4 linked regions of the Arabidopsis thaliana genome follow. The protein of the gene in region 4 interacts with the protein of the main gene of each other region in a pairwise test. Each region holds a gene or a part of one and is shown on either strand. Other genes may lie near its edges.

Region 1 (4,081 bases), on a different chromosome or scaffold from region 4:
TCATTCATGTTTTGAGTTTTGTTGTTGTTTTCTTGAGTAGTCTCAATTGACCTCAACATTTTTGCAGTTTCTTGATATTTGAATTTTTGTCTTTCTTTATACATATATTTGATCCTCTTTTTTCTTGGCTTGGTTTAGTTGATAGTTTAAGCGGAAAATTAACCAAATTAGATTAGTTTTGTATGGTATTTCTGGTTCGATATCTTAATGTTAAGACCTTGCTTTGGTTTCTATTAGGATTCGGTCTGTCGGGGTTCTGGATTTGAATAACGGTGACACTATACACCACATTATGGTTCAATTTTCAGATCATTTGTTTGTTCTGTTTCGGTGTTACCGCCTAACCAGTTTAGTTTATTTATAAGAGGTTTAAGCACTTTGTATAAGAGTATTGGTAATTTTTGGTTCAGATGGAATAAAGCGAAAAATTGTTAGATTTGAATAGCCTAAACCAGAGAGAGTTAGGTTTGGTATGGCTTAGGTTACTATTTTTTAAGAAAGTAGTAAACTGAATTGCCTCGTGAAATGCCAAAAACTCAAATTCTCAAGCATGTAACATGTATGATGTATGTATGAAGATTAACCAGCATTGTCATGTGTGATATAACATCATAAGTCACAAAAAGCAGAGTCCATGGTGGTTGAGAAGCTTTTATATCTGAAAAGAGGAAAATTAAATGCCGCCAATGAAATCATTTAATGATATAACTTTAAGGAGAGCCGTGAGACCAATAAACAAAAGCAAGAAAAAAATCAATAGAAATTACCAACAAATTAATTAGCAGAGATTTGCAAACTTTAAACTAATACTGATAATTAAGTCCTTAACCCCTCCCGTCGGTCACGTGATCATCACCGTTAAGATTACGACACGTCACCAAATCACAAAAACCCTTGAAAAGAAAACCCCCAAATTTACTGCGGCTGAAACGGCGGAATTCGAACGCAAGATTCTTGTTGTTCCTTCTGTCGCCGGAGCTCCATAACTTTCCGATGAGAGTTCGAATGCTGAGTCAATACAAACGTCGGACTCGACGCCGGTCTGTATTCCGGTACAAGCCTCCCTGATTTGTAACGAACTCCACAAGCGTTACAAAGTGTTTTAGGTCCAAGCGGTCCAGTTCTCCACTGTGGCGTTTTCTCCGAGGCACAGTGCGTGCACCGCCTCGCTCCATCCGCCGTAACCGATTCAGCGTTGTAGACTTTCTTCGGTTTAGGTTTAGCGACGGAGTGACAAAGCTCTGATTCAGACATCGGAGCCCAAGTTCCAGCTACGGAAGGTGCTGGTGCTCTTGATCGGCGACTTCTAGGTTTTCCGGTGAATGAAATCTCGGGTCTAACGGTCATGGTTAAAGGATTTGCTGGGAAATCGGAGAATGAATCGTCAACGAATCGCGATAACCATTCGAGATGAGCTGCGTCGTCACTCTGCAAAACTCAAAATCAGAACTTAGAAATTCAAAATCAAAATCAAAATTAGGGTAAATTGAAATTTGAAAACGTACGGGAACGCAGAGATCGTGAGTGAAGTCGGTGAGGAGAGTAGGAGAAGTGTAGGTGGAAGAAGGAAAGCTGAAAGGGTTTTCGGAAGAAGCGGCGGAGGAAGCGGCGGAGGAAGTGACGGTGGAAGAGGAAGAGAAGATTTCGTCGTTGGAGAAATCGAGAAGGTCGTCGATACGAAGCAAGTCCGGTGAAGACATGCCGTAGACGTCCATTGTTGACTCGGACTCGCTTACTGAGTATGTATGTGGTCACTGGTTCAGAGGTTTAATATAGAGAGAGAGAATTAGTGTAAGTGAGGAAAGAGACGAAGATGAGAACGTGCATAGAGTTAGCATGCACCGAGACTGACCTGACCACTCCCTTTTTTTCTATTTATTTATCCACTTTAATATATTTGTCTACATTTTTCTTTGAACATGCATGTGCTATTTAATTTACTTACCAGAGGATTAATTAACCATGAATTACATAATGCATATACTAGTCTTTTTTTAAAAACGCATATATTATAGATCGAGCTTATATTCTAAACAAGCATTTTGAAAACATTTCTTTCAAAACAGACACTCTAAACAGTAAAAGCATATAATACTTCAATTTTTATTGTTACGGACATTTTTGCCCTTAAACTATGAACTGGAGTTGAGAATGAGGTGAAAAGAATGTGTTTATCTTCTAAAAATTGTATCCCCATCTCTGATTCAATTTTAAGTTTCTTTTGACATCCAAAGATATATGGCTTAGATAGTGGACTTGCAGCTTCGACGGTAGGCATGAAGCTTTGACGATAGCACAAAGATTTGGTGGTGGTTCACGGCTTTGACAACGAGGGGTAACGAACGGCGTCAATGGTAAACGCTATACCCTAGAATTAGACTTGTAAACCCAAACCGTCAAATATAGAGTATGCAATTCTTACATACACACAATAACACAACACTACAACCATCCTCATTATCATCAAACACCATTAACATGAACAAAAATCAATGTACTTGTAGACATGATTATGAACATCAATTGAGCAATCAACAAAGTATCAATCACTTCTTGAATTCCTTAACCTGCACAAAAATCACTGAACAAAAAAACGTGCAAATCGTAATACTAAATCGTGGGACTTTTTTGTTTCTTGTTTTTTTTTTCCAGATCTCAAAATGTGGGATGTTAAAAATCTAGATCGCATTCACATCTCATGAGGACCGATTGTTAGTCGTCTGAATTTCCAATCGTCGCTGACATCACTCTGTAATCAATGACTCCAAAGTTGTTGGTGTTGGTCGCAAGTATTTTTGATTTCTAGTGTAAAACGTAAAAGTTCATCAACAAAGAAAGAACAACATCATCTCTCTGTAAGGGTAAAAACGACTTTCCCCAGGAAAGAAGTGCCTAAATCTAAAGATCATTTCAAAAGTGCCTAAAATAAAATATATATCTAAGACAAATGCCTTATTTGCAATAAACTCATTATAGATCATAGTCTATAGTTTTATTAATTTAAACAAGTAATGAAGGGGAAATTAAATAAATGCAAGGTTACTAATTTTATTTTTTTCAATAAGCCTCTCTCCCTTTTGTTAATTAAATTCTTCTGCCATCTCCTAAAAAGGTTTTCCGATTTTTTTTCTTAATTTTGTTGAAATTTGTGAGTTGGATCATTTAGTATCCCGTTGAGTTTTTTTTTTTTTTTATGTTTTCTTGTTCAAAGAAAATAAAATAATATTCTCCGGAATGTGTAATCAATCATAGAGTTGAATTTCAACATGACCAAAACAAGGAAATAGAGAACAAAATTGGCTCAACAATTTATTAATACAAAGTGATGCGAATGTATAACTATCTTGTTTCTTGTGCTTACATGAATATTTCGCATTTTGCAATCACACTTACAGAAAAAGAAAGAGACACAGAAGTGGGACTAGCTTCGATCGTTGTAGAATAGAGTGTACACAAGTATCTAATATCATTCTTCAGTAACCTAGCATGTCTTTCACAGGTTTGATTAATAACTAATGTGATAACGTTTAGAAATATCCTTACTACCAGAAGTAACGAAAATTTAGTTTTGATAAAGAGTTGTTTTGACATATTATTTTAAACATTGAAGAGATAACTATAAAAATGTAGTGGGGAATGGGAAAATGGATGGAGACAATGAAGGAGATGAGTCGACCGACGATCCGAAGTGCATTGCACTTTGGTTCTATAAATTCCTATGGCCCTCTTTTTAGGTTTATATATACATATTTTTTCCCTATCATTTATCTTCTTATGTCTCTTTCATGCATTGCTCCTTCATTAATTTATTCAGTTTTTCAACTATACAGAAACTACTCATATATGTACAAACACGCACGGCACATGCATATGATATAAAGAATGGGGAACCAATTGTTGCGAACATTGTGTTCATATTCGGCTAAAATATAAACATTCATATGCATCACTATCTTGTGTTCAATTTTTATGTGGCACCGCCAATCATCATAAGGCTCTAATTCGGGCAGATGTATCTGATTTCTTATGTCTTAACCATCTAATTACAAGGTACAATTGAATTAGAATTTAGGTAAATACA
Region 2 (3,776 bases), on a different chromosome or scaffold from region 4:
TAATCTATAAATGCCATTTTCTTATTATCCTTCCATATTTTAGACGACAGGACGACATGCTAGAGAAATTTATATATAATCGTTTTAGAGTTTACCAATTAAATAAATAAATATCTAAAAATATAAAGAGAATAATATCTTTTAATTTTGGAAGCCAGAAAAATGTTTTATAACCTTTTGTTGTAAAAAAAAAGGACGTGAAAAAAAAGAAAAAAAAGAATCGCAATAAAATGAGAAGAGAGACCCAATTGTCTCCATCACCGGCTCTTATTTTTTTTTTTGTAATAAAAAAAATCTGTTTTTATTATAATCATCAACGAAAAGCCCAAAACTCATGAGCTGTTTATAGCTGTCTCGTTCTGAGATCACGCGCTTCAAGATCGCGTGGAGGTCGAGATATCCAATATATGAACAGCTGGACTTTATTTTGGAGCAAAATTTTCAAAATTCACATTAGGTTTCCTTTCTAATTCATAATAGTTTTTAAAAATAAAAGACTCTTTATCAATTGATTGACCATTAGAGTTTACTCAAACAAATCGTTACTAGCGAGTAGTAGTGACAAAAAGATCCTTAAAATTCACAATTTTGGAACTAATAAAAGATCATTTTAAGCCACCTTTAAGCGAACAATTAAGAATAGAGACATATTACAAATCATTCAACTTCAAAGAAATGATCATTAATCAACTAAACCAGAGTTCATACGATAATTAATTAGTAGATGGCATATAACATTAGCTTGCCTCTAAAATTACATTAACTAATATATATGATAAGTAGGATTAATAATCCTCTCTTCATCATTTCCTCACTAACTTATTTTCCCTAATCTCTTTCACTCAACCATTACGACACATCAAAAAAAAAGGGTTAAGAGACAAAATCTCAACCACAAGAAAGAGCCATGAGAAGTACTGCGGCTCGTTCCTCTTCCCCAAGTTTCCTCCATAGCCTCTTCTTCTCCACAGCCGATCTCTTCATCGCCGGTACCTTAAACCCAAAATCCAAAAATCTACCAACCCTTTTCACGTTCTTCTTGTTATTATTGCTGCTACTGGAATTCTCAGGATCTCTCTTGATTTTGTTCTTGACATTTCCTGGTTCACCTTTGGCAATCTTGACAATTCCCGGTTCACATTTGGCAATCTTAACATTAACTGGTTCGCCTTTTCCGGTCTTGACATTTCGGCTCTCAAGACCAAGATTGTTATTACTTTTGCTCTTGATTTTAATATCATCTTGTCTAATTCCAAGAGCTGCTTGTCTCTTCTTTCTGCTCTTGATACCACACGCATTGCACAATGACTGCAAACAAAGTCAATCCATGATCAGACCAGAGAACAAATAGTGAACAATCATCAAACAGATCTAAAATTAAAGAGACATAACCATCTCTTAGTAAAAAAGGCATCATAAAAACAGTGTAACAATAATCTTAACCTGATCAATTAGTAATAAGGCTTCAAACACAGAATCAAAACAAAACATAGAGATCACATAACAAATTTAAATATCAACCACAGATTGACACAAACCTCGCATACCTAGACTATGTATACACATGATCACATCAATGAGACAAAACCCACTAGCAACAGAGCTAAGCACACAAGATCAACCTACATTTTAAGTGGATTCAAGTACCTATTTGACTAGATCTAACACATGAGACCTTAAAGCTTGGATTTTTAAGGGTTTAAAAGAAAATGGTAGAGAGAGATCATGATCCTTACTTTAGGGCCAGCAGGTCCACCACGCCAAAGAGGAGTCCTGCTTGTTCCGCAATCAACGCATGTCTTCTTCGTATCACCTCCACTTCCACTGCTACTACAGTTCCCGTTGTCTACATCGGACGAATCTCCCGCCGATTCGAGCTTCGTCGTCTTGGTTTCTTCCGTCATTGACATCTACAAAAGAAAAAGACAATTATTAAACGTGATCATCAACTACAAGTAAGAGAAGGATCAAAAACGATCATGGAAACTCACATTGATCCACTTCGAAGCGAGATAGGATTGAGAAGAATAGAAAACTCTGAAACAGAAGAAAGGAGAGTAACGGAAATGGCAGAGAAGGATCAAAGAGCTCTTCTTCTGCTTGAATGGCTCTCTGTGAAGTTTAGAGTGAAGATGATGATGATAAGGAAGAGAGAGAGACGCCGCAGAAGAATAACGGATAAAACAAACGGAGAGGGTTTTTATAATAAAGGAGGAGGCGGGGACTAATAAACCCTAGATTTCTCTTTCTTAATTACTTTTTTACCCTCGAGCGCGGTGTTTTATTACTATAGAACCACCCGCCAAAAAATAAAACAACCACAAACTGAAAAAAGAAGAGGGAAAATCATTTTACAACAACAACTTGTAACAAAGATCTTGTGGAAGGGGGTTTTTTGGTATCTTGCTTGCTTTGGTACCAAATTTGAAATTTTAATTCAAAACCTGGCGCACGAAATACATTGGATTTACTCGTTGTGGTTGTTTGCCACGTTAGATTTCCCTAATTGGGCTTAGAGATATGCATGCATTTTTTACCAGTCTTTTAGATATTTTGTGTAATTCTTCACAATGAAATACGAAAAATTTATGTAATAATATTAGGTATATCGAAGACATGCTCGTGTAGTGCAACTTTTTTTGTATGAAAATTACAAAACATCTCTCTTTTTGGTCAATTTCATCTTATTTAAATTTGTGTAATCGACTTATGAATATTTGAGTTCTTTTGGGTCCAAGGCATACCTACGCTTATAAACGACAGGGATTGAACAAAACATAGGATTTTTTTATTATTGAAACCCTCCCTACTTGAAGTTGACGATAACCATTAATAACATCGATTAATGGAAATATGTTGAAACTAGATACGCGTGCATATGTAGACAATAGCCCAAAATGACTTGGACCGCACTAAAATAGATTATAAAAAAAAACATTTACTATAAACAATAAAGAGACGAACCAATTGGGCTTTTATGTCACCAATAAGACCAAATAAAGTTTGACCAACTTTTTTATGTTTGACTTTGCAGTGTTGTGTAGTACAAATGTAACAAAAACCCAGAGAGACACATTCTCATCAGATCACACTTTAAAAACTTATAAACCCTTTCCCAAAAATAAATATCCCTTGATGACTCCTACCCAACTCCCCCCCAACAAGCTTATTCCATGACTCAAACCCACCAACCACTGGATCTGACCGGACCAGGCCAGACTAAGTAAGGCACCCCATCTGACTTTTACACAGAAGACCAGACTCTCTAATCATACCCTTTTTAACCAGTGCCCCCAAACTCTTTAAGCTCCTTCGACTCTTCAAATCGTCATGTTCAGCTCCTGTGGAAGCAAAACCAGACTCACAGATTCACACAAGGTAGACACACAGGCAGATTTACTCTGTTTGCTAGTCTAGCCTTAGATGCTTAGATAAATTAGTCCCAAGTAGTGAGGTTTTTTTACCTTCACTGGAAGTTGAATCCACCTGGTGGTACGGCTGCATCATTACCTCCTCCAAACTGGAAGCCTTGTGCAGAGGGATCACCAGGTGGTAAAGTTTCATCTTCCTCTTCCAACCAGTACGTTTCAAGAATCTTCACTGCCTTCTCATAGATTTCGCTGTTGTCATGACTCTGCAGATTCTCAATCTTTTCTAATCCCTCAGCATCATCGATCAGCTGTGCATAAAAGTTTACATCCCCGGTATTTCCTGTGACCTTTTCAGCTTCCCCAACTTTCAAAATGTTCTCCAATCCTTCCAGACACACAGTGATA
Region 3 (4,053 bases), on a different chromosome or scaffold from region 4:
CAATTCAACGAAATTATCCAAAACTTACAATTGAAATGATGATGTACCTTCTTTGATTGAGCTTGCGAGGAGAAGTGAAAGAAGTACCGGAGATCTGTTCGGCGTAAAGACCGTAAGGACAAAGAAGAGGACTGTTCTGATCTAACGGTAAAGCTCCGGCGATTGCTTCCGATGAGAAGTGGTTACCAAAACCTGATTGATACTTCAACTCTTCAAGCTCCTTCTTCTTCTCTTCCATGGCTTCTTCACATCAGAGAGAGGAGCTTGTTAAAGAGAGAGACGATGATCGATACATATATTTAATAACGTGGAGGAATGATGATGACGTGGCATACTGATCAAAGAGGAAGAAGAAATGACGTCTGAATTTAAAACTCTTTTTCCTAACAAAACCATAATCTCTAACTATTGGGCTTGAACATATATGGGTTTTGTATACAATTAGGCCCATAAGCTTATGATTTCTTTTTTCTTACGAATTTTGCGTCCCACATCGGTAAGCGAGTGAAGAAATAACTGCTTTATATATGGCTACAAAGCACCATTGGTCACGACCTTACTTGAACAGGATCTGTTCTATAGGCTCGTACCTCTGTTTCCTTGATTTCTCAAGAGACAGGCCCTTAACCCTGGTTGATGAACCATGACCGTGCGGCTAGAGCGTGATTGACGGCTACGATCGTCCTCGGACGCATCCGGTGCTGTAGAGGATCGTTACTCGGCTCGGTTCTACCTTGCCGGGGTGGTCGCACGGCGGTCTGACAGGTTCTTTTATTTTTTCACCCTCAAAACTTTGAATGAATTTCTTCTATTTTATGCTACAAGTCACTACTCGCTAGTTAAAAAATTATTAGTAATGGAAGGCGATGGCAACAGTTAACCAGAGCTACACTTTTTTACAAGTCCCTTTTCACTAGAGCTACACTTTTTTACAAGTCCTTGAGTCGCTTTTTACAAGTCCCTTTCGCTTATATACACATGAAACCATACAACAAAGCGCTACGGATTCGGATCTCAAGCCTTGGGATTTGGTACCTTCTCTATTGCTATGTTACCGGTTTTGCTCTACTCTATCTCTATCCTCCCATTTACATCCATTGAGCCACCGTCAACAAGTAGGTCCTCTGAGTTAAGCTGACATCTCGTATTCCCGCTTTGATTGTTCACCAAAATGTCAGGCTCGGGATTGTGTTCTGTTGCAGCCATGGCCATAAATTCTCTTTCTACATCTAACAAGTTCTTTTGAGTTTCTTGATCCTGAAGCAACTTGAGCTTCTTCACGAATTCAGCTGCTTCTAGCTCTCTCTGTATTTTCATCTTTCTCTTCTTCACCAGTCTCTCTACAAATCTTTGATCTTTAGCCAACTTTGCAAAGAAACTAAGCATATGCTGTTGTTCGGTATCAACTCCGTGGATCTTCTCCTGCACAGTGACCATCTGATGTTGAGATTCTTCTTGTTGTTGTTTCAGCTTCAACATCTCCAATCTCATTGGACTCTGTTCCTCCTTCAATGACTCAACCTCAGTCTCTGTCGTGGTGGTACTCGCTTCCTTGTTACAACATTTAGTGTTTTTGCTTCTCCTCTTGATGTTCTTAAGCAAATGTTTCTTCCCTCCTTGAAACCCTTCGTTAGCAAATTCCCACCTATCTGAATCGACCTTTTTAAAACCCTACAAAAAAACTCTAGTTTTTACAAAGCTTGTAAAGCAAGAAACATAGCTAAAGAGTAAAAACTTGTTCTGTGCTTACGTAAGAGTTAAGCTGACGAATAAAACTGGAGAAGTTCTTGTGCTTGAAGTATTTGGGAAGTAGATTCTCTGAGAACTCGTAAGAATCCCAAATGATAAAGCTTTTACGGGTCGGGCTCCATGATACAACCGGGTCTGTTACTTTGTCATCGACGATCTCAAACGTCTTTCTCAAGAACGGTGTTATTAAACCTATCTCGTGCAATTTCCAAAAACCAAGTGACAAGTTAACGGCGTCATCCTCCTCTTCCTTGATTAGTAAAACGACGTCGTCTGGCTTTGAAGATGAATCAGACGAGCCTCTTTCAACGGTGACGGTCTCCGTTGCCGTCTCTTGACAAAGCGAAGAGGAAGAAGATTCAATATCGACGACGTTTGGAATTGCCGTCATAGTAGCTTCCTACACCGTTTCTATTTCTTGTATTAACTTTTTGGTCGTTTATTGTAAGAAATACATCAGTGTTACTATCAAAAAGCTGCCACATTATAACCCATTTTTTTGGAATATAACAATTTATTAACACCTGTATATCTCCAGCTAGCCGTTGGATCTTTGTGGTCGGTCAAGATGAATCGGTCGTCCATTGAATTTGATTTCATGCATGAGGACAAGTGTCGCTTAGGGAAAGCATATACATCAGTTAAAATGCTACTATGCAAGTGCTTTTTTTTTAATAAAGAAGAGAGTTAAAAGATAATTTTGTTAGCTAGAGTTACAGGGCTGTGAGTCTGTGATCAGAGCTCTGTTATTCTTCTATATGATGATAAAATTCATATATTATTGTAGACGATGATAAAACTTATATTGAATTGAAATAGCAGCCATGCTTGTGAATATTAAAACTAGAAATTTTTACTGTAACGTCAATGTTATACGCACTAGAAAATCAAAATGCAATATAGAGTTTTAAGGAATATATAAAGAGACTTAATGGTCGATAAAGAGATCAAAAACAAACTTGTTATAGCGGTTGCATTGGTTGTGGCCGCAGGTGAAGAAGCGACGGTTACATAGGCGATAATGGATTAAACGACGAGCCTTGAGTGAATCCGGTGGGAAGATGAAAAAGGAAGAAACACCATGGCAGGTGAAATTCGACTATGCTCACATTGCAACCATTGCATCGGTCTAACTTCCTCTTTCATATACTCACATTTTTACGAGAATCAACCAAACAATCGTTGCGAGAGAAGCACTTGGATCCTACCTTCCATTGCACTTACTGTTTCCTTGTTTTAAGAGTGAAATGTTTGATTGTGATGGCTTTGGTTATCACAAGAAACAAACAATTGTATAGAGTAACTCAAGTTAATACTCATTACTGTTTATTACAATAGTTACATTTTAAAATTCGTCCGTTATGTCAACCTTTGAAACAAAACATGGAATAGAATTTATACCATGTTGACTGTTAACATTGTAGTAAATAAGATGTATTCAAAGTACTAAAAGAAGTAACAGTCTACTTTACTGACTAAACTTTACTAACTATATAACAGCAAAGTTTATAACTAATATAAAATGAAGCTTTTGGGCTACCTAACCGACATGCCACAACCAAATTTGTTGCTCTGCATGGGTCCTTTTGCAAGATTGGCACGACTCATAAAAATGCTCCCAAAAGTCCGTACTACAAAAAGTTTCGGAGGATTAAAACTATTCTAAATTTCTAATCTTATTCTAATTAAAATGCTCCCAAACGTACGTACCCTACAACAAGCTTAGCAACGACCTAAATTAAATTTCAGATTTTTTATACTTTTTGTTGAGTGAATATGATTACTTTGGGCTTGCAAAACACTTAAATATGTCAAATGGTCCGTTTATAGATTATTGAGCGTTTTCGTGTGGACAATTTCTTTTGTGGGCTGAAGTTGGGCGGTCCATAATGGATTACAACGATCCATTGGAGCCGGCTATGATACTATTGTAAATATTATATTGGTTCGGGGCAGCAATGTAATTGGTTGGAACGCTCAAAAAGAGATTGAGAATAGAAATGGAAATGATCTAAATCAATAATTTGCACAAAACTTTATTCTCAATTTACCAAGTGAAAGTTATCTAAATCTAATATTTTGCAAAAAGTTTACTTTCCAATTCCATATTAAGAGAAATCTAGATATTTAGACAATTTTCTAATTTGTTTCAAAAAGAGTTCTGATTTTTTCTCTTTTGTATTTTACCTTTTTTCTTAGGCTAAATCTCCTATATATATGTTTGAATAGAGAACGTAAGAAATATAAAAAAAATTAAGCAAGATGAATTACAACGATCCATTGGAACCGGCTATGATCATAACA
Region 4 (5,439 bases):
GACGGAGACGAAGAAGAATCGTTGACAGAGGGGAAAATGCGAGAGAGGGTGGAGGAAGAGTCAGAGACGATTCGGAGATAACCAGAAGTTCTGTAGAGGGAGAAGCAGAAGCAGATGAAGAAGAGCAAGAGAACGGCTCGGAGTACATTGCCGGAGCACGGTGGGATTACGACGGAAGTTACGGCGGCGGCGGCGGAGGAAGAATGATTCTCGTCGGAGTAAGAATCGTTGAGTATCGCCGTCTTGGAATTGGAGCCAAAACGGTTCGATAGATTCATCTTCGCCGACGTTGACGACGTTGGTCATCGTCTGGGCGGTTATAAGGTAGTTTCAAGTTTTTTGAATGTAAAACGCGGCGTTTAATGAGTTTACCCTCCAACGATGAAACGCAGCGTTTAATGGGTTTTATCTGCGAGATTATTTTTTCTACCGTAGGATTGCCGACCAAAATAACAATGAACATTCTAAACCGTAGGATCTTGATATAGAAACGCTGCGTTTAGGGGTTATCCTTCAAAGATCAAAACACTGCGTTTGGCTCTGTTTGTTAATTTTCCGTTCAAAGGCGATCAAAACGCTGCGTTGATAATTTATCTAAACTTCATTTTCTAGGTTTCTCTACTAACATTCAATATCCTAGTTTCAAAAACACATCCGAATAGTTTCTCTGAACCTAAATCTTGCATAACTTATTTAGCTACCGAGGAGAGAAATTGACAGATTAAGATCAATCTTTGAAGAACCAAAGCAATCTTTGGATACGAATGGTGCTGAACAAGTCGAGACTGCTGCTTCACTCGTTTCGCTCACCACCGATGATCCATTGCTTCTCCAATGATGATGATTTAACGACAGAGACAACGACAAATCTTCTTCTTCTTCTTCGTGTTCTTGTTCCCGCCACTCCTCTGTTCCCTAATGAACCAAAAGACAAAATTAGTTACCAAACCGGACTAAAACCGGTTAAATGCCATTTATATGAAACTAATTAGATTCAATGACAAGTAGTACTTAAACCGGACTCAATCCCTTTGGATTTGACCAGTCTCAATCAGACCGGTTAGAACTCATAACCGGACTTGATTTTGTTTTGCAACATTAAATTTCCAAACCGGTTGACAAAAGAGAAATTTATTTATACCTTGGGGAAATGATGTGACAAAAACGTCGTCGTATCGTTCATCTTCTTGATGTGAAGAAAGTCAGCATCATCATCATAACCACCAGACTCTGAAGTCTGCTGCTCTTTTGTTCTTCCTCCTCCTCCTCCTCTGCACCAAAGTAAAAGGACAATTCAAATACAGACAAACAAAAAAGCAAAACACTTTTTTTTTTTTTTTACTGAAATAAAATTAAAAAACTTTGTCAGAAAACAATTATAAATAAAAATAAATACCTAAATGAAGAATGTGAAGAAAGAGGAAAAGAGTGAAAACCCAAAAGACAATCATTCCTTGTGTGTAAAGACAAGTTGTCATGAAGATAATAATCTTCTTCACTGTCTTGTCTTCTTCTTATTGAAGATGATGAGCTTTCTTCTGTGTAAGAAACAATAAAAACTAGTTAATGAATATTCTCTTATTTTCTGTTCTATTACTCTTGAAAAATATATAAATGTATTTATGACATTTGTCTTATGAATCATGACACTAGACCAATAGTACATACTACAAACAGATACAGTAAAATAATTAAATTCCATCCATTATTATGTGTTTGATGTTAACAGTTCAAATTAAAATCAACGGTCCCATTCTTTTTCCAAATATCATCATTGATTCATTTCATAATTATAAGGAAAAAAATAATACCTGGTTTCTCCAAAGTGAGCTTTGAACCTCCTCTATACATCTGTTTATATATATGTTCAAAACAATCAAAACAAGGTGTTATGAATGAAATATGAATAAAGAAGAAAACAAAATTGATGTTTTTGGTAAAATTAATTACTATTTACCTGAAGGTGGCTTTTGACATGTGAAATGGTAAGTCCCTTCACATCCATCATCTTAAGAACAAGTTTTGGTGTTGCTCCTGTTTCATCAAACCCAACAAAATATCAAAAAGGTGACTATGATGATTCTTTATGAAAAAAAACAAAAACTCAAACTTTATGAATGAAACAAAACAACAAAAGCGTGAAGGTTTTGACTCGGTAACTTGACAAAGATGATTCATTACGATGATGAAGATAAACAACACAATAAGGAAACTTCAAACCTTTTTTTTAGCATAAAAATCCAAACTTTGAAGATAAGAATGAAACAAAGTAACAAAAGTGTGAAGATTTTATTCAAAAACTGATTTTTTACGATGATTGAGACAAAAGAATGAGAAAAGTCCAATTTTTCTAGTTATATCGTAACTTTAGGATGTTTGAAGCAAACAAACACACAAAAGTTTGGTTTTTTTCACAAAAGATTTGAAGAGAAAAAAAGTATAATAAACTTACGGTGTTGACCACCGAGAATCTCGACGGCGTGAACGAAACAACGGTGAAGATCCGGCGTCCATCTAAGCCGTGGAACTGGAGACCGTACGTAAGGTCTAACTCCGTGAAATTTATTGCCGTTAAAGCTTCCGTTACCATTTCTACCACTAGACTTACCCATATCGTTTCAAGAACCCTAAAAACCGACACAAAGATTCGATTTTTACTTAAACCCAAGAGAAAAAAAGGTTTGATATGTTTTGGTTCTGTGAAGAGGAGAGAAAGAGAAACGAGGAGAGGAGGATTTGAGAGGTGTGTGGGTTGGGATTAAAAGAGCAAGTTTTTGTTTTTGGCTTCTTTCTTAAAGATGACTGTCTCTTTTTCCATCTATTCTTTTTGTCTCTTTTTGGATTCATTCATACTTATTATTATCTCTCTATATATGTTTTGCAAAATTCCAAAAAATAATTATTAAAACTTGAGAAATGTTTCATTCATTTTTTTTGTTAAATATCAATTTGAGTTCTTACGAAAAAACTACATTAATTAAAAGAGAGTTATAATTTTGTTGTTTAAGAATTGTTCATGACATATACGTGAGGAATTTGAGGATACGTAAACTATCGTAAAGTCAAAATTTCATAATCTGATATGGTTTATGGTTGGGTCACTTATTTAGACGATTAAACTAGCAAATAAAAAGAATGATGTTATAAAATTGGTTTATTATACTAAACAGAGAGGTGACATGTGTTTTTTGACCTACAAGCTTGTAGTAATCATACGAAAATCCATTTGACTTTGGTTACAAAAGTAGTAATCATACGAAAATCCATTTGACTTTGGTTACATTAGTCTTGACTCGTGACCCCATTCATTATTATCTTAAATAATTTTTTTAAATAGTTTTCGAGAGAATCATTGCATATCAACGTACCAGAGAACTACACAAGGCTACATACATAACTTGCATGAAAAGAACATAGATTCGAGTATTACCCTTGCCCCGATCGATATATAACCAATTGAACATACATTTGTTAGCTTAGCTGGTCAAAAGAATATACTTGTCATAGAAAAACCAAATTTTGTAAGAACACATAATATTTACCTTATAGGGATTTGGGATTTACCCAAATGAAGAAGTTTCCTCCACAGTACCTCAAACTTTACTTTCTCACTTTTTTCACGATAGGTTTTAGACCAAAACGAATAAATTTAAATGAAAATAGCCCAACTGCTTAGCTTTGACCATATAGCATAATTATTATTCCTATTTTTGTTTTTTGTTTTGTTTTTTTAGGGTTTCGTGTTAAACTTTCTGATTTCAAATAAATCACACAATTTTACAATGGTCCTTCGTTATGTCTTTTGGACCACCGTTTTGACTTCATTCCCCTAATTCCTTTACATTTTCTCCCATTTCCCATTCATTTTCCTTCTTATTGTTTTCTTTTTCACTCCCATAATAAGTGATAATAAATCTTAGGATAATATTTATAACAAGAATTATTTATTTTCCCCATTTTTCTTTTTCTCATTGCTGATTTGGTGTACATGGAAGACGAACCAAAACCATCATGTCCCTATATGGTAGCCGACAATAATTACTGATTTCGCCAGTTTTTTCCAACCATGGATTCAATATTTTAATCAACGAATTGTGGACATAAATCACGTTATTTTATCAGCTATTCTACTATTAACTACTTATATTAACATCAAATACTGTTTTTAAATGATGTATGTATTTCTTGTAAGAAATTAAGTACTAGTATATAATTTTTATGTAGTATTAGAAAGTAATTGATTTGTACTACATACTTACTCGTGGTTTACGTGGTATCAGCCATAATAATAAAAAAATAAGAAAAAGCCGATTGAGTATTAATTAAGAGAACAAAATTTAATAATTTATAATTTAACAAAGTCGTCGTCTTTATTCCACACATAAATCAGACATTTCTATACCCAACGAAAAAAACAATCAAATAATAAAATCTACACACAAAGTGAGGTCATTGACCTTTAAAATGTAGCCTATTGTGCTTTGCATTTTCTTCTCATTTATGCACATTCTCTAAATTATTATAAAAACGTGGAATTCTCTGCATATATGCCAAAATTCGCTTTAACGATTTTAAAAATGGTTTAGTGTTTGATTAGACGGTAATTAAAATATAATATTCAGTCACCAGCTTGTCAAAGACACACGAGTTGCTTATATTACCTATATATTGACTAGAAGAATAATACAAAAAGCTACCTAGGTTATGATCATTGATCAAAATAATCAAGTAAACACATTCCAAAAGGTTTTATCAGTGAAACAATTTTACTATATTCACTAATAAAGCCTTTTATTATCCTACTGATGATCATTGATCGATAAACACAATTGCATGGATGGATAAAATGTCTAACCGAGAGTTCAAGTCTCAAAAATCAAAATGGTTAGTACTAATACATGTATGAGAGAAAGTGGAAGCAAATGAAAATAATACATTAAATGAGTCTGGCAGAGACAAATAGCTCCAAGAGAAATTGAATGAGTAATTGACTGTGGAGGTCCATGATTCATGGCTTTTACCACAATCAAAACATTCAATAATTCTCTTTGCTTGTTTTTTTATTAATATTATAAAACTTTGTACATACATGTAAGATAATGTAACCCAACTGGATTTTGGACTATAAAAAACATAACATTCTTTTTTGTGTGTGGAAAATTTGGATGTGCAAATCTCACCGAACCATTCGACGATTATCAATGTTAATTTATTATTCTATTGGGTCAATTTTCTCATCACCCATTGATTGAATTCAATCATAGCACATGCAAGAACAAGGCAAATTCTAAGATGGTTAAAGTAATATAAAAGGTGTAATCCATGAAACACCTAGAGAGAACAGAGAAGAATTAGCCTTTTCACACCTAAAATAACATTAAACAAAAGTGAAAGAGAGTTGTTTAAAAGTTTGATTTGGGAATGGTTGGGCCACCAAAA

The links.
Region 1: the proteins of AT2G02060 (region 4) and GATA4 interact in a two-hybrid assay, tested with the Arabidopsis thaliana proteins (one large-scale study listed by BioGRID).
Region 2: the proteins of AT2G02060 (region 4) and AT4G16141 interact in a two-hybrid assay, tested with the Arabidopsis thaliana proteins (one large-scale study listed by BioGRID).
Region 3: the proteins of AT2G02060 (region 4) and HSFA9 interact in a two-hybrid assay, tested with the Arabidopsis thaliana proteins (one large-scale study listed by BioGRID).

The regions. Positions count from the first base shown.
Region 1 is NC_003074.8:22,370,982-22,375,062, reverse strand, and holds GATA4 (GATA transcription factor 4), read right to left. Parts: upstream 2,051-4,081; 5' UTR 1,716-2,050; coding exon 1,506-1,715; intron 1,429-1,505; coding exon 916-1,428; 3' UTR 509-915; downstream 1-508. UniProt on the Arabidopsis thaliana protein: Transcriptional activator that specifically binds 5'-GATA-3' or 5'-GAT-3' motifs within gene promoters. May be involved in the regulation of some light-responsive genes.
Region 2 is NC_003075.7:9,130,984-9,134,759, forward strand, and holds AT4G16141 (GATA type zinc finger transcription factor family protein), read right to left. Parts: upstream 2,179-3,776; 5' UTR 1,992-2,178; intron 1,911-1,991; coding exon 1,737-1,910; intron 1,309-1,736; coding exon 889-1,308; 3' UTR 549-888; downstream 1-548. Other genes in the region: IMPA-2 (importin alpha), read right to left, coding at 3,467-3,776.
Region 3 is NC_003076.8:21,942,105-21,946,157, reverse strand, and holds HSFA9 (heat shock transcription factor A9), read right to left. Parts: upstream 2,176-4,053; 5' UTR 2,141-2,175; coding exon 1,751-2,140; intron 1,672-1,750; coding exon 1,066-1,671; 3' UTR 734-1,065; exon of another isoform or gene 656-733; 3' UTR 507-655; downstream 1-506. Other genes in the region: HGO (homogentisate 1,2-dioxygenase), read right to left, coding at 48-238; AT5G54067 (B3 domain protein), read left to right, coding at 4,012-4,053.
Region 4 is NC_003071.7:492,864-498,302, reverse strand, and holds AT2G02060 (Homeodomain-like superfamily protein), read right to left. Parts: upstream 3,559-5,439; 5' UTR 3,543-3,558; intron 2,923-3,542; exon of another isoform or gene 2,628-2,922; 5' UTR 2,613-2,627; coding exon 2,453-2,612; intron 2,259-2,452; exon of another isoform or gene 2,221-2,258; intron 2,035-2,220; coding exon 1,958-2,034; intron 1,852-1,957; coding exon 1,812-1,851; intron 1,539-1,811; coding exon 1,397-1,538; intron 1,272-1,396; coding exon 1,142-1,271; intron 916-1,141; coding exon 694-915; 3' UTR 525-693; downstream 1-524. Other genes in the region: AT2G02061 (Nucleotide-diphospho-sugar transferase family protein), read right to left, coding at 1-278.